4 linked regions of the Medicago truncatula genome follow. The protein of the gene in region 4 binds, or shares a complex with, the protein of the main gene of each other region. Links are inferred from orthologs where the notes say so. Each region holds a gene or a part of one and is shown on either strand. Other genes may lie near its edges. The genes, in order: 50S ribosomal protein L15, chloroplastic; 50S ribosomal protein L1, chloroplastic; 50S ribosomal protein L9, chloroplastic; 50S ribosomal protein L24, chloroplastic.

Region 1 (7,431 bases), on a different chromosome or scaffold from region 4:
AAGACTTGTTGTTTTTCCATTAGAATAATACAGTTAGCAATAGCATGCATATATACAAAATATACAGTGTTTGATTTGATAGAATTTGTGAAATTGATATTCAGATGTTATCCACCAATAGCAACAGCAGGGTATCATCCAGCAGGTAACATAGGAGATCATCATCATCACCCAACAATGCCATTGAGTTTCCCAACATCCTTCTCTGCTGCAGGTTCATCATCCTCAACATCTCAAGTTCAACAATATCTGTACTCTTCACCATCAAGGCCTATGTCTTTCCCTCCACATTTGGTTCCTCACGATTACCGTCATGTGAGTCATATGATGAGTAACAATGGGCAGCAATATGTGGCAGGTGGAGGTGAGTCAAGTTACACGTGCATAGGTGCACCGGTTGGACAAGGTTTTCCAGATCATCATCCTTCAACGATCAATCGATTTCAAGATGGTATGTAATGGAGTGATATTTTGTTATCATAAAGACACGCTAGCTATCTGTAATGTATGTATGTATATCCAGAGAGAGAGAGAGAGAGAGAGAGATAGATGATTCATAATTAATTAAGGTGCTGACAGATAGCTAGGGTTATGACTCATCATGAGTAAGAAAGAAGAGATAGCAACAACAGTAACTAGGTGCTGCAGCTTTTGAGCTCATTCACAACCTCAGCTACTTTGGATTCTAGCTGTGGAATGTCTTTTATATGTTGGTTCGGTACAACAACAAACAAGCTGTTGGATATGAACTGAAAGTTTGTGTCACTTCCTTTTGCATCCCATTTCTATTTTTCTAATATTTCTTGCTTTTTGTACCATTTTCTAACTTTTGTGGTTTCATACTTCTTTTCTAACTAAAAATCCAAAAATCTACCTCTCACTCTCTCTAGTCAAACCAAAATTAGAATATTCTAGTTTCTTGATATGCTCATCATGTCAGTGTCACACTATGCTTGCACAATTAAGGTAATATCACAACAAAAGTCGAATACTCCAGCTGAGTGTTTCCGGTATACTCTCATACATAGAATATTCAAACAATCAATCATGCCTCTACTATCAATCAAATTTCTTCTTAACGCATATCTAGAAACCTTATCAGTTCGAAAACCATACATAATACAAACACAGACCCCCTTTCTTCCTAGCCAAAGATCACCTCCCAAAGGTAACTATGTTATATAATAAAACCCAAGGAGTACAAAGAGTTTAAGAAGGAGTACATCAAATCATAAAACAAAGCGATAAAAGATAAAGTGTAAGGGAATGGTAAAACAACCAGAACCACAACAAGCATAGTGTAGGATGACATTATTTAGAGATAATGGATCACATTAAGATGGTCTCACAGAGTTGTACTTCCTCCGTTTTTTAATATAAGTAAATTTTAACTTTTAGATTCATTCAATCAATGATGTATGTGGTCTTTTAGACCACATACATCATTGATTGAATGAATCTAAAAGTCAAAATTTGCTTATGTTAAAAAATGGAGGGAGTATTAGTTAGTTGTAATGTAATGCTTAACATGTGACATTCTTCCTTGTAAGGGTTTGGAGTAGCCTTGTACATCCTTTAATGCTAGTTTGTTTATTAAAAAAAATCATAGAACCTGAAAAACATACCACCAACAAGGAAACCACGTACCACCGTCACAAGGAAACCACGTACCACGTAATCAACCAAACTATATGCACAACCGATCCGTCCTGGTCAACACCACAAACCTCTGTGGGGTCAAATACTCCCTCCGTCCCAAATTGTATGACGTTTTGGACATTTTACACATATTAAGAAATGTAATTAATATTGTGTGGGAAAAATATATTATGAGTTGTTTTACAAAATTGTCCTCAATAAATGATATGGGAAAGATAAATGAAGGAATTGAAAGAAGATAGAGTAATAAATAATTAAGGATATAATAGGAAAAATAACATTAATTTTTCATTGGTATTGTAAAGCGACATACAATTTGGGATAAATATATTTTCTAAAGTGACATACAATTTAGGATGAAGGGAGTACATAATAACAAGTTTTCCGTGAAGTCTTACCTTACCTGAAAACCACTTCCACTTATTTTTTACATACTCCCTCCGTTTCAAAATATAAGCAAAATTTATTTTTTAGTTCATTCATTTAATAACCACATACATCATTAAATGAATGAACCTAAAAAATGAATTTTGCTTATATTTTGAAACGGATGGAGTAAGTTGCTGAACAATTACTATCTTTTCAAAGAAAATAGATCCATTTGGGAACCTTCAAATAGACCACACAATCAAATTTAACTAAATTACTAGTAATTTCGAAGAAATAAAACTCCTGATATCAACTCTAGACCAACAATTGGTTCCTTCCGTTTCAAATTATGATTCATGATGTTCCAATATTTTTTAGTGTACTTATTTTATTTTATTTTAGCTTTCACACATGGGTTTTCCTATTTGATTTTAGCTTTCACAATTGAATGGGCCAATGTGAAGTGCAATCATTTGTTTAACACATGAACCAGAGTTAAGGACTTTCAATTATGTATTTTACTCTTTTAATACTTAAGAATTAGTAATGCTACATCCCCTAAAAAATTCATGCTTCATATAGGTTACAAAATTAAAAATAAACTCTAGACCCATCTTAGAAACAATAACATAGTGCCGAGACTAAAGTGAAAAGAATTCAATTTGTTTGGGGATGAATGTAAAGAATTTATTTTCCCACCATCCACCCTTCTCGCGCCCGTCCTCGGTTTCGTCTATTTTATCCCCATTTGAATCATAATTTGAAGCATTTTTAATGTTTTTTGGATTATAAAATTCACAATCTATCTGGGCTTATATTTTACACATCATATGTTGTATTGTATATCAACGTATTACGTCTACGTCACTATGCACCAACCCAAAATCACATAACTTAGTCGGACGATGTGAGTCTTATCTAGCTACTAATACATGATCAAAAATAATATAATTATCTAACTTGTATAAACATACACTTAAGTATCTCTACCTATTACAATATAATTATCTAACTTGTATAAACATACACTTAAGTATCTCTACCTATTACCTTATCATCTTGTGAAAAAATTGAGTATTCTTACTTTTGTCTCTCCATGATGATCTTGAGTATTCTTCACATCAAATTCAGACCCACAAGTGTTTAACATCTATTGAAATTCACTAGGCCTATGGAAAAACACATCATCGTCATGATCTTCAACTTCATGACTCCCTCTCTCAACAACTTATCTCAGAGGCACCAGATAACGATATATCTTGTCTAACCCATCATCTCGGTCTTCTCTAATCATGTTAGGTTGACTGACACCACCCCCACCCTTCAATGCTTCAAAACACACATGTGGAATCAAGCTTTCTTCCATCACGAAGATGTCAAATTTAGTATCGAGGTGCTGACTTGAAAAATTTCCCACGATGGAAACCTTTTATCGTAACTTTGTAAATCAAATCAAGTAAATAAACTTAAATATGTGGAGCAAAAGACATCAGAAACTAAATCTAAAACAACCTCAGGAAACAACAACATATCTTATATCTAAGCAAAACATATCCACAAACAAAGTAAGGACAACAAGATAACAAACACACTAAGAATTGGGTATATGGTTATTGGAAAGAGGTATAAAAGAGGTTACAAGAAATTAGCTTCAACAAATTCTCTAAGAACAACATAATTTATGCAAATTTCTCAATTTCTTTTTATAAACAAGAGACTCACAAATATTTTCACTCTCCAATGTATTTCCCATGTGTTATCTATTTATAGAATCTATCCCCTAGTAGTTTCATATCCAAACAAATCTCATCTTGAAATATAAATATGTAAAATAGTTTAACATTAAAAAAAAGTTGTTTGGTCCTTTAACTTAGTTTTAAAGTTCATATTAATACCCGAATAAAAAGGGAACTTCTACGGTACACCTCATAAATTGAGGTGTACCGATACTCCTGCTATATAAATTTATAAATTAACAATCATTTTATGAAATAAGTAGCTATTTGTCAATATTTATATTTTAGAAAACACCATCTCATGAGAAAAAAACATAATTTCATTGTTTATAAGAATTATATTAAATTTCTAACATTTCCTCATAAAAAATAAGCAATATTTTTCGTTATGGCAATAAAAATTCAAAAGAGTAAATTTTATTTCATCGACGCTTTTGGTAAATAAGATTTAATTATTATAATTGTCAATGATAGAAAATAAATCTTTTTTCTTCAAAAAAACAACTAATTTAATTATTGATTTAATGTTTTGGTGTACTGATACACTCAAAATGTTGGGTATACCATAAAATTTGCCAATAATAAAACCCTCTATAAAAAATAATAAAGTGATAATTTTTTTGAGGAAAAATATAATAAAGTGTTGTAGTCTTATCTAGACCGTTATTCTATTGTTTAGGGGGGTTTATCGTATCAACAATATTATCCGTCTGTTCCATTTTGATAGATAGAGTGAAGAACGGATAGACATAGTAGAGAGACATGAGTGCTGCTGCTTCTCTTATTCCTGTTTCCTGGTTACCCTCTCTCGCTTCTCCATTCAAGGTATTTCTATTTCTATTTCCATTTTCATTTCATTTTCTCCCGCAATTCACAATTTCACCATTGAATTTATATTTGTAGGGAAATGTGAAAACATTGGTAGCAAAACCATATCTATGTCCATGTCTCAAAATTCAGCGAACAAAACACCGTGTTTCTGTCATTAATAAGTCTGTTTCTGCTTCCGTACAACCAGCCGGTGAGAATGTTCGGTTTCGGTTGGACAATTTGGGTCCACAACCGGGTTCAAGAAAGAGAGCAAAGAGAAAGGGAAGAGGTATAGCGGCTGGACAAGGAGCGAGTTGTGGTTTTGGAATGAGAGGTCAAAAATCTCGATCTGGACCCGGTATCATGAGAGGTTTTGAAGGTGGTCAGATGCCGCTTTATCGACGATTGCCCAAACTTAGAGGAATTGCAGGAGGTATCCCTTCTTACACAACACTTGGGAATTTACCTTTTGCTTTGTTGGCTAAATTTGTTGTTTATGGATTTTGAAAATAACGTATTTAATTATCGCGGTTATGATTGATTGACAGTACGAATTATATTCTTAGTTTTAAATGATGTCCAAACTTGTGTATTGTACATTTTGTTAATTAGTTAATTTTTAGTCTATATACTACCAAATGGGAGCTTTTGTGCAATTGTTAGAGATGCAATTGTTTGAGTTGAAAGTCGGATATTCATGAAATTTTAGCAGTATCTTAGAAATACAAGATTGAATATAATTGGCACACTAATAGGTTGCCCTTTTTTTACCATGTTTTGTTGAATTATCTGTAGCATCATAATGCTTCACATGGAGTTTATATGGATTTTGTTGAATTATATTAGGATAATTTAGGATCCTACTGTTAGGGAGTGATCAAGAAAGATGCTACTTGTAGCAACATCATTAGTAAGAAAAAACAATGGTTAGATGAGAATTGTGATTCCTGGTTGCAGATTGATTACGTATACTTGTTGCGTGCCTGCATCACATTTGAAAGTCATGAAGTATGCCTATTACAGGGTCCGGATATGATGTTGTATATATCCCTAATATGTTGATTTTCAAAGAAATTATAGTCGATTCCCTTTATTGACATCTTGAAATGGTAATTATTGTCTAAAGAGAATCATGGCATTATGGATTATACCAAGCTTCCAATACCTAAATTTCGCTTCCTCAGTTCTTATTATGCTTGACATCTTTACTTATTGTATATTTTTTCCCCTTATTCTTTTATATCCTTCCATGATTTCATTTCAAAAGCAATTATTTTATCAAAGGCTTTTCTTTCATTCTTTGTCGTAGGATCTCTCTTAATTTATTTAGTATACGCATAAATCTCGCTTGGAATCATGTTTTAATGTTCCTTCTTTTCTTTTATTTATATAAAAAAACCATAATAAGGTATGCATGCTGGATTGCCGAAATATGTCCACATCAATCTGAAAGACATAGAAAATGCTGGATTTCAAGAAGGGGAAGAGGTGTCTCTGGAGACACTGACGGAGAAACGTGTGATTAACCCATCAGGAAGGGAACGGAAACTTCTATTGAAGGTACAAAATACTTGTTGGTTTATGGCTATCTAATTTTTTCCTTTAGTTGTTGTCTTACATGTTCTTTTCTGTGATTGTTTTCATGATGTCTAGAGGTATTATGATGTTTCACTTTTAAAAACAAATGAGGATGGTTAATTTTCCTAGTGCCCCATATATCAAGAAAGAATTCTCATATGAGGTCCCTTGTCTATCGTGAATAAAGTTACTTTCTTTAAAATTTTCATATAATGCCTTTAATCAGAGAATTTTGGTTGAGCTCAGACATATGTTGTTTGTTTATGATACATATGTAAGTTCAAACGTAATATTTTGGTGGCTGTGTTTGTGGTTTGAATTTGAAACTGTAAAGTTGGAATATAGGTCCGTTGGTTGAAAGAGTTAAAAGTTTGCTAATGGATGTCGGGATATTAGAGATGTTGAAACCGTGTTTCTCAACTACATGATGGAGTCCATTTTGTAAGACTCAAACAAATAATTACAATATAAATACGATCAATTTTATTCTTATTTATGCCTACAGTTAATCTATAATAATCACAAAGATCCTAAACATATTTTCAACAAGAGAAATAAGGCACGTAGTCTATAAATAAGAAGAGGGCTGAGACTTGAAAGGGAGAGATATCTTGTCATTTTAGTTTAGTCGGAGGTCCTTGGATATAGGAAGTAGGGAAGATTGCATACCTTTGAAGTTCTGTAGTTCTCCATACAAGGAATTTTTCCCTAAATGTACATTTAATTAAAATATCAATTTCTGTCTATTGGTATCAAGGCTCCATCAAGGAGTTGGGGGTATATCATTGAAGATTACGTGGCGGGAATAAGAATAAAGGCACACATGGATGTCATGGATGGTCAGGAAGTAATTTCAGTTGGGGAAGATACATCTGTGTTGGATCAACAAGTTTGGGAGGTATTTTCATATGAAATAGGTGTTGGAAGGAGAAAGACTATAAGTCATCTGTGTAGCCATGGAAGGACAAGCTTTGTTTTTGTTTCAATGCTCCAAAACCCGACTTGGGTGATGTGTCATAATATTATTAGGTGTTTCCAGCCATCCATGATTTGCAACCCATTTGGTATTTTGTTGTGTATGAAGCAAGAGGGCTTGTGCATGAGTACAAGGATCAATTTGACATACAGGTCAGGTTGTTGCATCTGCTACCAGATAGAATATTTAAAAGTTTTTTTTTAAAGGACGGCAAGATTGAAGCTACCCTTGAACAGGTCACTATTGGAGGAGATGGATTTGGAAGAAACTATAGATGAGTGAAGAAAAGAGTCGGTCAGTTTG
Region 2 (7,345 bases), on a different chromosome or scaffold from region 4:
ATCAGAACACTTTTAATTAACTAGAAGTGTAAATGCGAATCGAAAGCATAATCACCTTGAGTAAGAACGGCTATTTTTATGGGTTTTCCAGTTCCCTTCGGCAGACTTACCTATTAAGAGAAGATGGATGAAAGACTCGGAATTAGCAGATGTATTGTATAGTTTTCAATGTGCATGTATATACTAGAATCAAACGAATGGCAGGAGACTCACTGTAGCTCTTAACTGTTGATCATTATATTTAGGGTCAATGTTGAGGCGGAAATGGGCTTCTACTGTTTCTACAAACTTGGTTTTAGCTGTTTCTTTTACCAAAGAAATTGCTGTCTTCAAGTCATATTCTTTCTTAAACTCCCTCAATTTTTGAATTTCCAAGAATCTCTTAGATCTCACCTGGTGAAACATGGAAAGTGAAAACAACAATTATTCATAAAATAAATGGGAAACATTTTCCAAACATGAAAAATTCAATGATCCAAACAATCAACTTGATCTTAGAAAGAAACAAATGGCTATCTTATAACATTTACACCATCGCTATCCAAGTAGGCAATCAAATATGCTGGAACATAAAGACCAACCAAGCAAAAATACTGCATATAATGGTAGGACAAATAGCACAGTAACTACTGTTTATATGCATCTCTCACCTTCACTCATGCTAAATTTCAGAAGATATTGGAAGCTAAATGAAGTTATATAGAACAATTTATTTCCACCAAAAAGAAAGTCTGGCTATAAATATGGCTCAACTAAAAGTAAATGAGTATGTAACCGTGTATATTTTATGAAATTATTTATATCCTCTGAAGCTCCTATAACATAAATACGTGAACAGTGAGTTTTTATTTTTCTTCATCACCACTTTTTAGGAGTTCTCACCTACATAAGATGTTAGTCACTAAGCAAGTTTATTTTAAAATATCATTCTATTACAGTTATTCAACAGATGGAGCAGCTTGTGCTAACCAAATGAGCAATGAGCACAAAACATGAAATTAAGATATACAGTTATGTATTCATCCATTTGTAGTCATTAGCTACTGAAGAGGATTGTCCAACAATTTCTCACTATCTTATATCATTCTATTATTTCTTAAAGCTTGTTTGTAATGTTACAAGATGGCGATACATGATTAACTTCCCAGGTAAAACTACAGTTATTTCCTGTTTACGTGAAAATTCTTAGGTACAACTACGGTTATTTCATGTTTACGTGAAAAATGATATAGACAATTGCCAAAATATAGCACCCATAATTAGCATCAACTAATAGTCCAATACCCACAACACAGCTACAAGGTTAGGTATAAGTGGTAAATGTCCTCCATCTAAAGCTACTGACTCAATTGATACCCTCACCAGTGATATAACAATTTGTGGATAGAGTTCCCTCACCTCTTGGCTGAACACATCCTAGATAATATGTGTGAAAACCATAGTCACGTGATTTTTAATTCTCTTTGGTACGTGGTACGGGTATACGGTTGCTGCCTACCATGTATTGGTTACATTGGGGGGTATAATCGGTACATTTGGGTTCAGTATAAAATGCTGCTACTACTTTTGTTTACTTCTTTTATCAAATTAATAGTTATAAATTGCCTGCCGTAAAATATGGTGACTGCATATCTTTATAGTCTTTCAAATAATATCACAACAACAAGCATACAATTTCTTCAACTATCCTTCAGAACAATTTTTCCAAGTCTCCCACGTGAACGATGAACCCCTTCATCTTCCTAAATTCACTGGTTCTAAAAGAATTTCCAATCATTCCACTGCCGATCGCAATGAGAAAAGAGATTCAACACATCTTCCTTTGACTCTTCTACTGTCATAAACACTCACTGTCTTTTGTCTTACTTTAAACTGGATCCGGATTCAGTGACTTTAAGGCCGGTAATTCAAGGTGACTTCGGTGTAATTGTGTGTTATGAGAGAAAGTTAATAGATAAGTCACTGAATCCGGATCTCTTTAAACCATATAAGATAACTCAGTTCTACGCTTTTAACAAATTATCTAGAAAATTGGTGAAAACCAATTCACCAAAGTAAAACAAATTGGTATTCAAATACCAATTTTTTGTTCGTAATTGTAGTACAATCTCTATAGCACCCATACTTCTGATTGACGGCGTGACTGATACTCCCTCCGGTCCTTATTATAAGAAAGGATTGACTTTTTAGGTTCATTATGTAAGTGATGTATCTAGTCTATATTTACAACAAGATACATTAATTACTCAATGAATCTAAAAAATCAAAAGTTTCTTATAATAAGGACCGGAGGGAGTATCCGACACGTGCCACTGTCTAACACTGAACTTACATTAGTTAAATTCTATGTCGACGTGTCAATATCGTGTCAGATGTTCGTGGCTACGCTTCTTATGGTCATAGCCACCAACACAATTAATTCCCTTAATAAATAAATACTAATAATACACTAATAATCCACAAAACCAGAACCCCAATTGTAGTTAATAAAATTCAACAAAAACCCATCAAGAAAACAATAGAATTTGAAGAAGATTACCCTATCACTCTTGAGAAGTAATGCAGCTTTCCCTTTCTTAGGCTTAGTAGTAACAACAGTCACAGTTTCAGCAACATCATCAACGTCATCTTTCTCATCTTCATCAACAGTTTCAGCAACATCAGCGGCGACAGCGGAAGAAAGTAAAATCGAAGACCTGGACTGGTAGGTTAGATTAACCGACTTAGAAGGCTTCAAAACGAGGGGAGAGAGAAAGAAGGTTCTGGGAAAAGAACGGAGAGAAGAAGGAGAAAGATCTTGGGGGGTGAGAATAGAAGAAGAGGGGTGTGTTAGCATAAGAGATGATGATGAAGTTGTTGTTGTACATGAAGCCATGTTTGGGAAGAGAGTGTGGTGGTGAAAGCAGGACATTTAGGTGGTTATCTATTCGTTTTGCGATGGTGATATGAAAATGAAATGAATTTTGAGGAGATAAGAATGTGATGTGCCCTATCGTCTTACAAATGCCGCGTGATTTCTTCTCTTCTTCTTTCTTTTTGGCATATACTAATACTTATTTTTCATTTTTTATTATTACAAAAAAAAAAAACAATTTTTTATTGTATTATTGCACTAATAAATTAAGTTTTAATTCGTCTCGTCAACTTAACTCAGTTCATAGGGACAAATATATAATATATGCAGAAGCTGGACTTTGAATCTCATACACCGCACTCCTTCACATTTATAATATGTGAACTTCAACCACTACACAACTAGACAAAAAAAATCGAGGTTTAATTCCAAAGTTTTGATGTAGTGGTGAAAAAATAAAAATAAATGCTATTATCCTTCAAGAAAAATTATGCTATTAGAAATTTAGGGCGTGTAAATGATGCTCATTGTTCTAGTAAGAGAGTGTGTATATTCTAATTTATTTTTAACTTTTTTTATTGAAAGCCCATTTTAGTTTTTCAAAAATTCACGAGACTTAATTTAGTCATGTGAAAAATAATTTGTATTTATAATTTGGTTTTTTCTATCTTTCTTTCATACCAAATTATTAACAATATCTTCTTGGATTTATTTTCTTTCTTCTATCATTTTCTTATCAACCAAAACAAAGTGTAAAGAGGTTAAATATTAACTTTGTCCCGATTTAGTTTTTATCAATGACTAAAGTTACTTTTATTTTTCTAAGAAACTAAATTGGATCTTTTGAATTTTCTCAAGGACTAAAATGAACATTCACATTTTATACATAAATTGATTTTTTATGAAAAATAAATTAAGTTTAAAAGAGATTCATAGTTGGAACAAACTAATGTTATTTAATATTTGATATTTATTTTTGTTAAACATTAGTGTAAATTAGTTTACACAGATGGTTGTCCTTGTCCTAAACAAAATTGTGCGGGTGGTTCATATTTTCTTATAAAATTGACAATGCAAATTATGCTTGTGTGGTTCTTATTTAATTTATTTATAATATTGGGTGGATTATTGATGTTGATTATTTTAGTATGACTACAAAATAATGAGGATAAATTTTTTGAGGGAAAAATAATGAGGATAAACTATAACTACAAAATAGACTACCATTGTATAAGTGAATGGTGTTTTGGCTAAATACTATTTTTGTGCAGGCGGATGTGACATGGAGGAGGACATCAATTTTTTTGTCTGGTAGTCTAGTAGTTAGAATTCACCTTATAAGGTGAGTAAATAGTGTGTCCGAGGTTCGAATCCCGATCCATGCATATAATAATGCATTGTTCTACCAACTGAGCAATGCTCACGAGATTCAACTTTATTATTTTTTTTATTTTTGAGTTTTGCAGAAAAATTTGGTTTGATATTTATAATTGAATATGTTTAATTACGATTCATCCGTTTATATCTCGGATCATTTACTTCAATTTGTATGAATTTGTGACTACTAAAAAAATATTTTTTTTGTTCCTTAATTTGATTTGACTTTTCTGTATTTGGATCATTTAGCAAAAAAGAAATTCAAGAGTGTTTAAACAAAATAGGTTTTCTTCATCTTCTAGAGAAAATTAAACTCTAATCTTTATGGTGGCTGAATGCAAATCATCCAACTTTTGCTTCTATCTATCTGTTTACCGGTGTTTTCGGCAAACTACAGGTTAATTCTGATTATTACAAGAAATCTCAGGACATGATGTTCAAAGGTTTTGATCGAAAACGGTTTGAAAAGGCCACAAAATGCACTCAGGTTACTTAGAGAGCAAGACGGATTTTAGAGTAAAAAGGGCACTGTCTTTCGACAGTTTTGAGATTGCAAGTGAAAGCAAGATAAAATTAAAGGAAAGGGTAAAAGTTTAAACACATAAACTTAAAAGAAAATGTAAAATGCATTGCATTAAAAGTAAAATTGTCTACGAATAAGTTTACATACATTATGTATAACTCGTTTTCCTATGCGTCGGTAGTTTTAATGTTGTAGAATTTCTATAAATGATTTGCGACCCATTTTCCGACTAGGAAACTCTTATTTATACATAAAGAAAATAACTGGCAAAAGACTGATCTCATGATCAACACTTCCTCCATCTTGGACAACCTCTTGTCCCCAAGTTTCCACTAAGGAAACCGCCTTTGAGCTTGAAATTGTATCTTTCCCGCCTTGATTGCTTGACTTCGATGCAATTACGCTTTTAGCATTCCTCAGACGAACTCTTGACCATGCGCGTTAGGCTTGCTATTTTGTCGAAATCCTCAAATTAAAATGAAAAAGCCTTCGATTCCTGCAAAGTTAAAAGTCAACTAAATGTTGACCACATTAAATGACCCTGTCGAAATTACAGGCTAACAGGATGCCCCCGAAAAATGCCATTTTCGACGAACCTCATCAAGTAGGAGAATATTGACATTTTTTAATTACACAAGTTACCTTGAAAAGATGACATCATCCCACTCATTAATTACCCTCCAAACATGATTTTCAGTTTCTTTTCCTTTGATCGTTTTAGGATTTAAGTGGGCCACGTCTTTTCACTTGGACAACCTATAAGTCTATTTATTTCCCTAAGGCGCCACTTGTCGTTGATCGAACTCTTCATGTTCTACCCTTCGAAACTCCCTATTTTTACCATCGTTGTTCCTTTCTTCACAAGATTTCCAAGATTTTATGTCTCCCAAGGCCATTAATTATCCACTATCTCAAGGCGTTTTTACCTTCTTTCGTGCACGTTGTAACGCCCTCTTTGAATTATTTGTTTTATTTGATTATTTTATTGAGTTTAGAGTCTTTTTGAATAATTTATTTGATTTATGATAATGTGTGTTATTTTTGTGTTATAGGTTGGTGTTTTAGTAGCATATTATATTATAATATATATTATTTGGTGTAGAGATATTATGTTATTTGTTAGTATAATATATATGTTATTTGGTGTAGAAATATATTATATTATATTATATTATCTAGTGTAGAAATATAATTGTTATAGAAATATATTTGTTATTTGGTGTAGAAGTATTTTATATATATATATATATATATATATATATATATATATATTAAAATAGAATATTGAGACTTTGGGAGCTGATTTGGGAATTTAGAAGAGTTTAAGAGAATAAGTGGAGTTAAGAGAAAATAGGTAGGTTAAGGTTATAAAAAGAGAAAAGTGAGAAGTCAGAATAGTTTTTTCACGTACAACCAGTTTTTGGAGAAAAAGGGAGAAAACCTAGAGAAGAGGAGGAACGAGAAGATAACCTTGCAATCGAATTCTTAAGGTAAGGGTGGGACTAACATTCAATAATCTTGAGTCTATGATTCTGAAAATTGTATTTGAGAATTAGGGTTAAGAGTGATGATTGTGATGATTTTGAATGAAAGTGAAGTTGAATAATATAGGTTGCTTTTTCTGATTTTTCTTTTCATCTCTGCCCCGAATTTGAAATGAAATCTGGTATTGATAGGTCCAGAATTGGTCTTAGGTGTAAACACGAAAGTTGTAGGTATGGATGTTAGCTTTGTAATTCCGTTGGTCTGACGTCAAAACAATTTATAGAACTTGAGTTATGGTCATATTACTGCATGTAGGTCACAGTGAATTTTTATGAATTTCAGCACAACTTTTTCCGAATTTGAAATGAAAACTGGTATTGATTGGTACAGAATTGGTCTTAGGTGTACACATGAAAGTTGTAGGTATGGATGTTAGCTTTCTAATGCCATTGGTTTGACTTGAAAAGGATTTATAGAACTTGAGTTATGGTCAAATTACTGCACGTAGGTCACAGTGAATAATTGAATATGATTGATGAATTAGTATATGTATGTATATGTTTGTGAATACGATATTGTTCATGATTGATGAAGTGTTATATGAATGTATATGTTTATGAGTATGATGTTGTTTATGATTGATGAATTAGTATATGTATGTATATGTTGTGAATACGATATTGTCCATGATTGATGAAGTGTTATATGCATATATGATGTTTTAAGATGTTGATTATTATTTGATGTTGTTATATCTTGAGGTGTTTAAGTGTTGTCTATGTTGCTGTTGTTGGTTATGTGAAATGTTCATATGTCTTATGTGGAGAATATATGATGTTTAAGTTGTTGATGTTTTTCATTAATATTGTCATGTTGTGAATTGCTTGTACTGTTTCTGTTGATGTTGCATATTGATCAAGATGCAGGTGTTGGTCTAAGTTGTAAAGTTGTAAGTTTTCTTTCCAAAGTGTTTCCAAAGTATTGGAGTATTAAGTTGTTAATGTTGTCTAAGTTGTTGATATGGAGTTGCAAATGTTACATATGAAGATTATTAATGATGGTTACTTGTTGTATATGTTTAAATGATGCTGTCTTGCTGTTGTGAT
Region 3 (6,916 bases), on a different chromosome or scaffold from region 4:
CCCTCTCGCACCTTTTTAGTAAACCAAAAGTGAAGTTAATAAATACCCAAGCACTTGGGGAACCCTCTCTTAAAAGCTAGATATCAAGAAGGAAGAAACTCCACCGTGAAGCATCCCATGATGAGAGCCGATTTCCCGGCGGCTGCTTTCTACGATGCTTTACTCAGTCTTTCCGGTCAGCACCTCCATTTGGAGCCCTTTCTAAGACACTGTTTGAATGCTAGATATTAAGGGGAAAAAAACAAACAACTTAAATACACCATCGTGCATTCCAGACTAATCGATGTGGGAGAGGAAGTGCAAGCAAAAAAACGGTGAGGCAGCATAGGAGATGGATGTGTGCAAGTTTGTTGCACAATAGTATTGTGTCTTAATGATTTATGCTGCACAGTCAAATTCCCTTTTGGATTTGTTAAACTTATAGATTGATTGTCAATGTTTGTCAATCATTTTGCATATATGTGTTATTTAGACGCTATCAATATAAGCAGTTCCAAAAGTTGAAATGATTTAATATTGTTTTTTTAGGGTTATCGATATCACTAACATAAATATGATATATACGCCATAGGTTACAGGAAGGAGAGACAGAGCCAAGCCTCTTCCATTCAAGATGGATTCACGTGGTTCATGGGGCTTTTCAGGAGCTAATGAAGGGAACCCACGGATCAGTTCCAAATTTATTGCACCATGTTACTATATTAACAAGTAAGCCACTGGCCTTTTCATGAAAGTATTTTTCATATGAATTCTGGTTTCATTTTCCCATGTACATTATTTGACACTATCATAAATGATGAGTAACTTAATATGAGTTATGTACTTGTTCATGACCATAAAAGAATAGTATTCATTTTTAATTGAAAAAGGACGGTATCTACCTCGATATTTGGATGATTGCGGCATCATGTGGCTAACTGTGTCTTGTTTGTATGCTATATTTCAAGATGCATTTCAAAAGACTATTACTTTATGCTAGGTTGCTGCTGTTTTCTTTCCATTTGTTGGTTTTGAAGCTCAGTAAATTAAGAACTATTTTTTCAGGGTTGAGATCGATACCAAACTCCCCGTCGTTGGTGACCAGAAATGGGTAATATGGATATGTTCCTTCAATGTCCCCATGGCACCTGGTAAGACTCGCTCCATCGTTTGCAGTGCCCGAAATTTCTTCCAGCTCACGGTGCCAGGGCCTGCCTGGTGGCAAGTAAGATTTCTATATTCAATGCTTTCGTTTCTATTCTCTTCAATAAAACCACGAGAATGTTCCATTCTCTGCTAATTTCTGTGGTCTTTCACTGATTTATTCGCTTCTTTTGAATGTCTATCAAGATATAGTTTTAGCAAACCTTGACAAAAATTATTCGCTGTTATCCTTGAAGAATGCTAAGTTTCTTTCTATGAAACCATTTTATTTCGAAGATTTTTAAACAAAATGGAATTCTTGAACTTCTCCAACATCAACATCTAGGATAAAATATATTTCCAGGAACAAGCAAGTCCTAACGATTTTCTTGTTCATGTCTCAGGTGGTTCCCAGATGGTATGAACATTGGACTTCAAACAAGGTATATGACGGGGACATGATTGTACTTCAAGGTCAAGAGAAAATCTTTCTTGCAGAAACAGAGAATGGCGGTGACATTAACAAACAGTACACAAGCCTCACCTTCACACCAACACAGGCCGATCGTTTTGTGTTGGCATTTAGAAATTGGCTGAGGCGACACGGCAATGGCCAACCTGAATGGTTTGGTAAGAGCAGCAGCCAGCCATTGCCTTCAACCGTACTATCAAAACGTCAGGTATAGCAATTTGATCAAGTTATTTCATTATGAACCCTTTTCCATTGTCTACAAAACCGAGAATAAAACACAACTTTGATGATCTTTTGTGTTTGTTTTTCATGTAGATGTTGGATAGATTTGAACAACACACACTGAAGTGTTCAGCTTGTAAAGGAGCTTATGAGGGATTCCAAACATGGCAGAAAATCCTGACTGGTGCAACAGTTGTGTTTTGCGCGACTTCTGGGATTCCATCAGATACTCAGCTGCGCATAATTTTGGCTGCACTCGCGCTTGTCAGTGCAGCCTTAGCTTTTTCCATAAACCAACTGAAAAACAATTTTGTTTTCGTCGATTATGTGCACGCTGAAATCGATTGAACGTGTTATTACTCCAAAGGTTTTATTACTAGTTGCAAATTGTAAATGTTAGAGATGAGGACAAATAACCACGTGTATGTTAATATGTGTATATATTTTCATCAACGGAGTTTAGATCTACCTTGATGTTAATGTTAACATGTGTATAACAATGTGACATTAGACTACAAATACACAATATGAAACTTCTTTTTTCATAGATTGTAGATGATTATTTCGAAGGTCGTAAACATGACAAGATTAACACCAATCTTTCTGTATGTTTAGAATACGAAAGACGTATTAAATCTGAATTTTATTTTTATACACAAATTACAAATCCAGTGCTTAATTTTATATTTCAATTCCTTCAAAAACTAACTATATGATAAATCAATCAATTCTTTCACTTGCAATGTTGGACTCACCATTCTTTTATATATAAAATTAGATTAGAAGAGACACACTTTCGTATAAGATCAAAGAGAACCACTCATATAATCGAAGATCTAAGCCAAATTCAACCATGTGTGTTAACTGCAATTGATTTGTATATTACCCCACTTTTATAACTACATTTGATAATTTATGATACAACATTTAAACTGTTACTTCGATACAATTATTTTTTTTATTTTTTTTTATCTTACTGTAATGCTCTTAATTATTTTTAATTCATTTCTATCTATATCTCTATGCTATTAATTATTTATAATTTTATTCTAGGGTATAGAGTTTAATGAATTTGATAAAGATGTGATATATGATAGAATATTATGATGTCAATTTATTCATTTAACTGATTCTATTTAGTGGGTTAAGAATTAGAGTATGTTTGATTTTGTGGTGAAAAAAAATTGATTTTGAGTGAATTGATTATGTAAAATTGATTATGGCAAAAGTTGAGTTGAAGGCAAAATAATTTATGTTTGAATACATTCATGTAAATAAAATGTAGTTGAATAATAAATTTGAACATAAAAATCAATTATAGAATTAGAAGCTTACGATTTATAACTTTTAAGTAAGATCAATTCTAGAGGCAAAATCAATTATACTTTATAATTATTTCTGCACACCTAAAATCAATTTTGACTCCTCCAAAATGAAACTAAACATGTACACTCTTGTACTTTAATCTCAATGCAATAAACAATGATGAATTATTTTTTTAATCCGGCGGAAAGAAAAGCCAGAAAAGAGGAAAACTAAACAATTTGTTGCCTAAACATCTCATAGACATCAGCAATGTAAGACGAGATTCAACTATGTCGAAGGGGAATTCCACAACTTCATGATGTCGACATTCTTTGCATCAAATTTGGTCAACCAATCAACACATTCGTTGTCTTATCTTGTATCATATTCAAGGAAACCAACCAAGGAAGATGGATGAACATCATAACAAGAGAAACTAAATTTGCATGAGGGTGAAAATCATTATGTTGAACATCAGTCATCAGAAATATCGTTGACTCGGAGTCGGATTCTACAATAATATATAACAAATATCCTAAACTAATGAATTTTTTTCTCTTTCAAATCAATGTGAGTTCAATAAACAAATTAGATGCGATATTATATAAAATCTAGAAAAATCGTGAATCCAAATTCTAAACTCATTCCACAGTATGTCTCCACAGAAATTGTCAATTAAAAATTAACTAACTTTTTTAAAAAAATAAAAAATATTAATTAACATTTTTGTAAAAAAAAAATACAATAATAAGTTTTTTACGTTATATCCACTATTTTTCGATGTTCGTTTGAAGAAGAAGAGATAAGAGACCAAAACACAGAACACAAATTGAGCGGTGAGTTAACAAAACAACAATGGCATCATCATCAACATTATCTTCACTTCCATTGCAACATAGTTTCACCTCTAACTTGAACACTTCTTCTCAATTTTCCAACAAAACTTCAAGGTTCTTAATTTTCGCTCAGAAGAAAGCAAAGAAAACCCGAAAGGTTAGTTACACCAACATTTTTTTTTTTATCTCTCAGTTGTGACAGTATTTGTTATTTGTATTGAGTTTTTTTTATTGTTATTTTGTGAAATTAGATTATATTGAAGGAAGATATTCTTAATGTTGGAAAGAAAGGAGAGCTTCTTGATGTGAAGGCTGGATTTTTCAGAAATTATTTGTTTCCTAGTGGCAAAGCTCAGATTGCAACTGCCGATTTGCTTAAGTAATGTTCAATTATTTATATCATCTAATCTTACTTGAGATTTTAGAATTTTAATTTACATTAGTAGTAGGTTACTTTGGATAAGTTACCAGAAGCAGAGACACCGGACACAACACTGACATGTAGGCACTAGTAATTGTTTAAGAAAGTAGAAGTGTTTGAATTCAACAATTTGGAGAGAATCCAATTCAACATGTGAAAGTGTCGTGTCGTTGACCAAGTGGATACACCTTTGATCTGAAGTGTCAATGCTACATAGGTTACTAGCAGCAGCGAAGGGTATTTAGGTTATTGAAATATCATCAAAAATAAACTTTGTCAACAAAACACCAAAGTCTCTTAAGAGTTTCACATTAGAATGATACATTAAGATTATGTAGCACCAACACTTCAGATTGATGGTGTGTCTGGTATCCGACACGTGTTGATCTCTGACATTGAGACATGGGTTTACATTCAATCATTCCATTCTCTCAGATTAGTACTGATGTTGACGTGTCAGTGTCAATGTTGTGTTTGGTATTCGTGTTTCTGTCAAGGCTTCATTTTGTTAAGAATTACATTTTGAAAAAAACATGTTTGCCACAATTTTGAATTGTGATTCCCTTGCATTGATTGTCTTTAGACCTTTTCATTTTAACTTTTTCTTTCCAGGGAATTGAAGATAGAGGAAGAAAGAATTGAGGCTGAGAAACAACGGGTAATTTTTCGTTGATCCCTTATCATTTCTTTGGTAAAATTTTCCTTATGATAATGTTTAGTTAAAATTGTGATAAGCTGATCAGTGATTAAGAGTGTTAGAGTTCAAGAGGAAAGGAATATTAATATGTTCTGCTACTAGTTCTAAACAACCTTGCATGTAAAGCTATAAGCTCATAACAATGATATTCTCCTGATTTTGAATTCACTTTTTAATATCTGATTATCTGCTGTTTAGGAAATTTTACGACTTTCAAACTTCCTTCTGAAATATTTTAGTGAAGTTTTTACCCCTAGGTGTATTTGAAGACATATCAGACTATCTAAGTTTTACATTTCTATAGGTAAAAGAAGAGGCACTGCAACTTGCTCAAATTTTGGAATCAGTTGGGGCTTTCAAGGTGAAGCGTAAAGGTGGTAAAGGAAAACAAATCTTCGGAAGGTATGTTCTACCCAATTACTAGGTTTCAATTTGTGCAATATATGTATGATTGTGCCTAATCTTTGGTTTCTGTTTAGTGTTACGGCTCAAGATCTTGTTGACATTATCAAGGCACAGCTTCAAAGGTACCATTCATCTTTCTGATGCACATAAATATTTTCTTTGTTAGCATTATAAATCTTACATTATTTAGTATTATCCTATAAGTTGTAACATTCCTGTTTATACTTTTCTAATAATTGGGACAACAAAACACATTTCAGTATGGTATTTTGTTCCAACTAGCTATATGCTTAATGCAGTTTGTTGTTATTTTGTTGTCTGGCTTTGGAGCCTTCCAATTTTGTAGAAAGGTTCATGTTGATTTTTACCACAATAATGAAAGATTCTTTTCGATTGAGTTTTCGATATAATTTATCAACGGAGGTTAACCAAATCACTATAATATTAATAGGTTCTACCAATACCTGATATCCTTTAGAGAAATTCCTTTTAGTTTGAATGGAATTGTCATAATGTTTAGTCTGTTAATATTCAATGTGCATTTCAGTAATAACTACAATGTTATTTTACTCTTTCCTGCTTATCCTTATCGATTGATAGCACCATAGTCATCAGTATCTTGCGTTAGATGTGAGTCGTATCTTGTTTCGAGTAAGACTGAACCCACCCGATATGAATCCCTAGTGTGTATCAACTTCGTACACGAATTCCATCTTATCTCCTAATTCATAATAATGAATTTTGTTTCACTATAATGAATCTCAATTCATTGTAATGAATTACTACCTAAAATTAGTGTAGCTAGGCATTTTTTGTCAACTTTGTATAGCTGGCCGTTGTCTTTTGTCGTTTGATGTATGGCTTGAATCTTGAATTATATTGAGGTTCGTATATGATATGTCAACTTGAAATTTTGCTGTGACTTATTTTTACATAAAAATATCATACTTTTATCGGTAGTGTATCTTACATTTATAATAAGATTTGATTCATGATTAGGAAAATAGATCATTTGATTCACGACTGGAATCTCAATTTACTAACCATAGTTAACACAATACCACAAAGGAATTATAGGTGCAAAATATCCTTCCATGATTCTGTAGATTCATTTGGATGTATTCAGTGTATGCAATTTTTGAAAAGCTAGAAGAAATTTGGAAGAGACTTTCGAAATTCTTCAAACTATATCTCTTTGACGATTTACATTTCTAGTTCAGTTAGTCTCAGTTCACATGTGTTTTGTAGTCTGATTAATTGTTCATGATTTTCTATGATTCATTTCTAGGGAGGTGGACAAGAGAATTGTTGAACTTCCTGAGATCAGGGAGACAGGAGAATATATTGCAGAGTTAAAACTTCACCCTGAGGTTACAGCTAAAGTGAGTGTGAATGTTTTAGCTAACTGAGCACTAATATGTTTCAAAATGCCATAT
Region 4 (7,018 bases):
TGTTGTCACTCCAGGCAGTTCCTCCTGTCATTCATCGCGACATCAAATCTAACAATATTCTCTTGGATCAGTCCATGCGAGCCCGGGTATGTCCTGTTAATCATCACTTTTTCTAAGCATGACCTTGTATATCATTATCAGTATTTTACGATACATGCTAGTCGTATCTCGATTCAGCACAAGATTATAAACTCAATTGACACAAACCTGTAGTGTGTATCTATTTGGACTTGAATCTCATCTTGAACCCCAAATTATTATGAAGAAACTCGATTCACTATGATGAATCTCGGTTCACTTTAATGAATCTCGTTTCATTCTACTGAATCATTACACTTAGTTTACGCTGCAACCTATTTTGTCAACTTTGTACAGCCTACCACTTTTCTTTTGCCATTTGATTTATGACTAGAATTTTGAATTATTTTGAGGTTTGTTATGTATGTCACATGTTTTTACTTAAAAATGTTATATTTTTTACTTGAAATTTGATTTGATAACCATGATCTTTTATTCAATCTGTATGATCTGAGATAATGCTGAATGACAAAATATATATTTCCTCTAATAATTTATTGTGGGTTAGAATTCTTATGCTCTTATTGATTCTGAATCAAATAGGTTGCTGATTTTGGACTTTCAAGAGAAGAGATGGTGGATAAACATGCTGCTATTCGTGGCACCTTTGGCTATCTGGATCCTGAATATATATCATCCGGGACATTCACCAAAAAAAGCGATGTATACAGTTTTGGAGTGTTGCTCTTTGAACTTATAGCTGGCCGAAATCCTCAGCAGGGTCTTATGGAACATGTTGAACTTGTAAGACCTCTCTCCCTCTTTCAAGCCCTGTTGAAAATAAAATGTATCTTGTTGTTCTTTCTTCTTTGCTTGATACATAGTACATATCGAAACAAGTGGTGACAGATCTAGAAATTTAAGTTGCGGAGACAATACTCACAAATCCTTGTAAATAATAGGGCTTATTGTGGTTCAATTCAGAAAGAAAACCGTACCAAACTAAACCGTTACGGCGTTACCACAGTTCATAAAAACTGAAGCGAACTGTTAATGGGGTCCGTCCCAAGAGGTGCACCAGTTCGATGATTCTGAACCGAAATAAAACTACCTTTACAAAAAATCTAATTGTTCTTTCTTGAACTGAATTTATATTAGTTGGAAAAAAAATTAAAAAAATCGAACCAAATTGAATTTTTTTTGATGCAGCACACCATGATATCTAATTAATTTTTTCTGTTCTTATGAATGCTATTGATGGATGATTAGGCAGCAATGAACTCCGAGGGAAAAGTTGGTTGGGAGGAGATTGTTGATTCAAAGCTCGAAGGAAAATGTGATTTCCAAGAGGTGAATGAAGTGGCAGCACTTGCATACAGATGCATCAACCGTTCCCCAAGGAAGCGTCCTTCGATGAGGGACATAGTTCAAGTATTGACTCGGATCCTTAAAGCAAGGCATCAGAGGAATCATCACAAGAAGTCTCTTTCGGCCACAACAGATGAAGTTGCAATTGATGTTGATGAGCCAGAAAATAAGGGTCATGTTACTGACCACAGAAGAGATGAATCTATAGATAGTCGCCACAGAAGAGATGAATCTATAGATAGTGCAACTGACATGTATGATTTGTAACAAAAATAGCTTTATATTTAGTTCTTTTATTTTCTATTGTTTTATTTTTATTTATTTTTTGGCTTTGGATAATGATCTTTATTAGACATTAGGCTTTGAGTGAGTTAATGATGTTTGGCATCATCTTCTGTAGTTTTGTGTAACATTCTTTTTTTTTTTTACATTATTTTTTACTTTATTGTTTCATTCTCTTGCCTTAGTTCTGTTGTCTCGCAGAACAGAAACTCCTAAATTTGTATATTATTACTTTCATGAATGAAATTGATGTGAAAAAAGGGTTACTTTCATGCACGCAATCTATTTTCCGACTCAACTAACAATCTTAATGTCGAAAATAATTTTAATCTCACTTAAATGGATTTGCAAATTATTTGAGGGATCATAGTTTTAATTTCTGAAGAGTTAACTAGGATTTCAATTGCAAAATTAATCTAACTTCATAAATTTTAATCTCTGTACAAGAGGAGCTCCCTGTCAACCCTACTGCCTGCGCTGCACCAGTAACGAGAATCCGCTTAGCACATCATGGTAGCATGTTCATTTGCAGCTGACACAGAATCTGCTTGGCATATCATGGTAGTGCGTCCATTTGCGCTGCACCAGCAACACAGAATCCGCTTGACACATCATGGTAACGTGTCCAGTTGTAGCTGGCCATGGCAGGAGACAGGTATGTGGACTGTCCTTGACAGATTTATTGATATGAAGATTATTGCAAATATTTATTATTCAAAGTTGCAAATACAATAGATCCAAACCAGCTAGTCAAATGGTGTACAGATATGCGAAGTTTGTGGCGCTGCAGAATTTACACTTATGGAAGCAGTTGTTGAAGGTCTGCAGGAATTGCATCAGAGAGCTACGTCCTTTTTAGAACACCGGCAGCAAGTCAATAACCATATAGCAGAGAAGCAGCCAGAATGGTGATGACAAAGACCACCGGTACGGATGATAAAATGTAACATTGATTCATCGTTCACGGACAACTATGTTGGTGTAGGAATGTGTCTAAGCGATGAAGTAGGCAATTTCCTGCAAGATCGAACAGATCACTATTCTCCTCGCCTCCTTGTTCATGAAGAGCACTTGGTTTGATTGAAGCAATCAAGTGGGTTATAAGCTGGAGATTGATCATATATTTTTTGAGTCGGATTCTAAATTGACGGTTGACAATTTTAATAAACCAAATCGGGATATGTCCGAACTAGGTTATATTATTGATGATTCATGATTGTATATGTTTTATTTAAGTCCCTTTTTTGTCAAAACTCTGGTGGTGGAGTATGTTAGGAGACAAACTAATGTAGTGACTTATAAGCTAGCTAGAGTAGCTACATACAGTCAAGTCTCAAAACTTTGATTTTATCCCATACTATATCTTGCTTGATAATGATAAAAGAAATTACTTAAGTTTGCTTGCTTCAATTTTTTTTCTTTTTAAAATATAAATTTATCAATTGCAAATATGTATGCAACAGTGTAGAAGAAACCTCATAACATATATATTTTTTTAAAAATTAATAATGCTAAATGTTGTTAATAAGTCCTTTTAGATTACTGGATACAAAATAAAAAATAAAGTATAGGATATATCAAAATATTTAATAAGATGCATTCTATATTTTTAAGGATAAAACTTGGTACATTCATTTTCTTAGGTATTTTTCGTATGTTTCTTAACTAAACTATCCATGTTTTACTTAAATCGATAATTTTTTTTTAAAGTTTGTTATAAGAAAAAGTGTATTTTTAATTTAGAATTGTACAAAAGCACATAAGAAAATACATCTAAACGAGAGAAGTATAATTCAAGTATCTATTAAGAGGAGAGACATATAATTTACTTTAAGTTTTTACTTCTCAATAGTGTAAGGCAATTACTTACCACTCTATTTCATCTCACATCACCAATCCAAACATAGCACAATAGTGTAATTTACTCTAGTATTTATTATTGAACAAAAAATTAAAGAGAAAAAAATAATAATAATTGGTTCATTCCGAAGAGAGTTACAATTGAAAATTGCTTCTCCATTTCAAAATTACTTATTCCCTTAATTTAGTGGGAAACTCTCGCTCGACATTTTTCAGCGTGAGTTAACTCACACCAGCACTTTTAAGATCGATTGAACCGATTTAAAAAATGATTGAACAGATCTTAAAAATGTCGGCGTGAGTTATCCATGAAAAATGCCGGGAATTAATTCCTGCCGAGTTGAGGGAATGAGTAATTTTGAAAGGAAGAAGATCAATTTTCGTTACAATTTGGGCTTACAAAACTAACCCACATAAAGCCCATGATCCATTTTCACACCAAATTCTTCAATTTTTTCTTTTATTTTGAAATTTTGTATTATCCAAAATCATTATCAGAAGCAGAAGCAAAAAGAAGAAGTTACAGCAACAAAAATGGTAGCTATGGCTATGGCTTCTCTTCAGAGTTCCATGACCTCACTCTCACTCTCTTCCAACTCTTTCTTCGGCCAGCCTCTCTCTCCCATCACTCTCTCTCCTCTTCTTCCGGTACTTCATTCTCTTACACTCTCTCCATTAATTTTGCAAATTTGCTTCTTCTTTTTGAATTAAAGTTTCAATTTTTATTATTCTAGGTACTTATTTTCTAATTTTATCCACATGGGGTTTTTGATTTTAGTGAGTTTTAAGAGTCCAAGTTCATGGGTAATAGCATTTCGTGTTTATTTTTCTAATTAGAATTGTGGTGATATTGTTTGAATTTATAGTTAATAATTATCATCTTCATAGAATTAGTGGATGCACTAATCAGTTTATAATTCATAATTCTGTTCATGTTTATATGGCATGTCCTATTCAACGTCAATGCTTCTGATTGAAGGTGTGTCTCGGTGTCTTATTCATTTTCTTATTAGAATAAATTGAATCTGCCATTTTGTAGCATGACCAGTGCTATTGGAATTGAATGTGAATAAGCTCATAAGAGATTTAGATTTTTCACATGACAATTGTGTGTCTGAATGTGTTCTTTAGACAATCACAAATTAAGATAGGATTGAATTTGACAAATATAGTGCATATGAAGAAGGAGATATAACACAATTTTCATATCAATGTGAAAATATTGATTAAAGGATCCATTTCTAACTAATCCCTTGTAAGAATATATGTGTTCTTTGATGTGTGTTCATTTGCTTAGTGCTTGCCTAAAATTATCATTTCTAACTAAGCCCTTGTAAGAATAAATTTAAATGTTATTTGTTCATTTCTAACTAAGCCCTTGTAAGAATATATGTGTTCTAACTTATCTTTTCTCTCTCATGATCTTCTCTAAAATTTAGAGATAGACACCAATTATGGAAGGAGAAGGAGAGAGTGAGTGGAAGTGGAGGATCTGGATCCAAATTTTAGAGAGAAGATCAAGAGAGAGAGAGAAAAGGTAAGAAGATCGAGAGAGAGAGAGAGAGAGAGAGAGAGAGACACATATTTTGGGAGGAAGGAGATGGAGAGTGATTGGATGGAGAGGAAATAGAAGATTTTGATGAATCCTCTATTAAAAAAAAACACAAAGCTATCCTAGTTTCGCTATTAGAGAAATAGCGGCCACTATTCTAGTTTCTGCTAGCAGATGTAGTGCAACTGTGCAATAGAAGAAAAGTAGAATATTTGTTTTTTTTTTTTTTTTTTTAAATTACAAAATTGAAGAGTCTGCACGTGTAGCAAACAAGAACTATTTTCAAAATAGAAGAGTCGAATCGCCAGAGAGTAATACTCTCATATTCACTGTAATACGTAAGCCTTTATGTTTGTAAGCTATGCTTTGCCTCCATACCCTTTTTTATTTGTACGGAACATGTCTTTCGTTATATATAATTGACTTAATTCAAGCCTTTCGTTATATATAATTTACTTAATTCAACCAATATAGAGTCTGCTATTTCGCATAACAGATTTTTGGCATTCCACTATTTTCTGTAATCTGCGATTGACAACACTACGAAAATGCAATAATGCTTAATGTTTCATTCAATGTAATGTAACTACTACATTTTGCCAGGCTGAAATTTGACTGTTTATAAGGATAAAATGAATCTATATTGTTCTTCTTCTTACAGATGCATTTCTCAATAGTTTAGTATGCTAAATCTATATTGTTCTTATTGGTGATATGCAGGGTAAGCCGACAGATAAGCAATGTCGTATTGTAATGAAGGTAAGTATCAAATACTTCCCACATCCATGCCTAATATGATTATTCTCTTTAGTTTTTGTTAAACTAAAATCAAAATCAAGCAAATGTTAACTATAGTGATCCGAGAGCAAAGAAATGTTTTTTTTTCCGTCAATGGCATTTTCATACTCTTGCAAAAATGAAAACGATACAAACCTTATGATTTCTTTAATTTTATATTGTAAAAAAACATAAAAAGACATTGGTTTATAGGTCATGAGTCTAAATATATTGTCTAACAACTAACCTTATAAAATGTCTTGTGTAATATTTGTTTTGTTTCTTTTCTTTTCTGGCAGCTTAAACGATGGGAGCGAAAGGAATGTAAACCAAACAGCCTTCCAGTGTTACACAAATTGCATGTTAAAGTTGGAGATACTGTGAAAGTCATATCAGGACATGAAAAGGGTCAAATTGGGGAGGTTACTAAGATCTTCAAGCACAACAGCACTATCATTGTCAAAGACATAAACTTGAAGACAAAGCATGTGAAGAGTAGACAAGAGGGAGAACCAGGGCAAATAAATAAGGTTATTATCATTTCCCTTTACCAGAGAAAACATTATTATGAATTCTTCACTCTTAAGAGTTAGAGAATCTCCTATTATATAACATTCTCCTTTGTTTGAGGGAACTCGAGTTCAAATCCTGGCTGGAACAAATTTTGGTCAATTTTATTTACCTCCCGACCGAAGTTTGGATTACCATGCCTCTTTTCTCTAGAAACTTGAGGGTTAAGACAAAAAAAAGAAGTTTAGAAACATGCGTTGATGTTTATGATTTTTGTTTTTTTTTGGTGCATTTCTTGTCATGGACTCTAATACTTTTAGAAACCATTGCCTTGAATTTCAGATTGAAGGTCCTATCCACAGTTCAAATGTGATGCTCTACTCTAAAGAAAAGAATGTCGTAAGCCGTGTTGGTCATAAAGTTATTGACAATGGCAAAAAAGTTCGTTATCTAATAAAAACTGGAGAGGTAATTGATAGTGTAGAGAATTGGAAGAAACTGAAGGAAGCTACTAAAAAAACTGAAGAACTTGTTGCTGCCTAGTTTTACTATATTAATTCATGCATTCAGCAGTTATGTAACTCAATGTAGTTGTATTATTTTTTTTCCCATTTTATTGTTAAGTGTATATTATGTTGTGTTATTATTCTG

What was found.
Region 1: 50S ribosomal protein L24, chloroplastic (region 4) and 50S ribosomal protein L15, chloroplastic share a complex: the UniProt entries of both Arabidopsis thaliana proteins name them as parts of the 50S ribosomal subunit. The link is inferred for Medicago truncatula from reciprocal best matches to the Arabidopsis thaliana genes RPL24 and RPL15.
Region 2: 50S ribosomal protein L24, chloroplastic (region 4) and 50S ribosomal protein L1, chloroplastic share a complex: the UniProt entries of both Arabidopsis thaliana proteins name them as parts of the 50S ribosomal subunit. The link is inferred for Medicago truncatula from reciprocal best matches to the Arabidopsis thaliana genes RPL24 and EMB3126.
Region 3: 50S ribosomal protein L24, chloroplastic (region 4) and 50S ribosomal protein L9, chloroplastic share a complex: the UniProt entries of both Arabidopsis thaliana proteins name them as parts of the 50S ribosomal subunit. The link is inferred for Medicago truncatula from reciprocal best matches to the Arabidopsis thaliana genes RPL24 and RPL9.

What each region holds. Positions count from the first base shown.
Region 1 is NC_053042.1:53,668,465-53,675,895, forward strand, and holds the start of 50S ribosomal protein L15, chloroplastic, read left to right. Parts: upstream 1-4,428; 5' UTR 4,429-4,526; coding exon 4,527-4,589; intron 4,590-4,667; coding exon 4,668-5,007; intron 5,008-5,982; coding exon 5,983-6,134; intron 6,135-7,431.
Region 2 is NC_053045.1:15,688,582-15,695,926, reverse strand, and holds the start of 50S ribosomal protein L1, chloroplastic, read right to left. Parts: upstream 3,011-7,345; 5' UTR 2,912-3,010; coding exon 2,540-2,911; intron 394-2,539; coding exon 214-393; intron 111-213; coding exon 56-110; intron 1-55. UniProt on the Arabidopsis thaliana protein: This protein binds directly to 23S ribosomal RNA.
Region 3 is NC_053045.1:29,004,257-29,011,172, forward strand, and holds the start of 50S ribosomal protein L9, chloroplastic, read left to right. Parts: upstream 1-3,894; 5' UTR 3,895-3,976; coding exon 3,977-4,114; intron 4,115-4,208; coding exon 4,209-4,336; intron 4,337-4,990; coding exon 4,991-5,036; intron 5,037-5,379; coding exon 5,380-5,477; intron 5,478-5,554; coding exon 5,555-5,602; intron 5,603-6,768; coding exon 6,769-6,889; 3' UTR 6,890-6,916. Other genes in the region: pheophorbide a oxygenase, chloroplastic, read left to right, coding at 572-708, 1,045-1,204, 1,527-1,802, 1,910-2,164. UniProt on the Arabidopsis thaliana protein: Binds to the 23S rRNA.
Region 4 is NC_053043.1:40,655,455-40,662,472, forward strand, and holds the start of 50S ribosomal protein L24, chloroplastic, read left to right. Parts: upstream 1-4,012; 5' UTR 4,013-4,062; coding exon 4,063-4,176; intron 4,177-5,800; coding exon 5,801-5,839; intron 5,840-6,156; coding exon 6,157-6,387; intron 6,388-6,709; coding exon 6,710-6,910; 3' UTR 6,911-7,018. Other genes in the region: calcium/calmodulin-regulated receptor-like kinase 1, read left to right, coding at 15-86, 622-822, 1,288-1,653. UniProt on the Arabidopsis thaliana protein: One of two assembly initiator proteins, it binds directly to the 5'-end of the 23S rRNA, where it nucleates assembly of the 50S subunit. Required for optimal plastid performance in terms of photosynthesis and growth.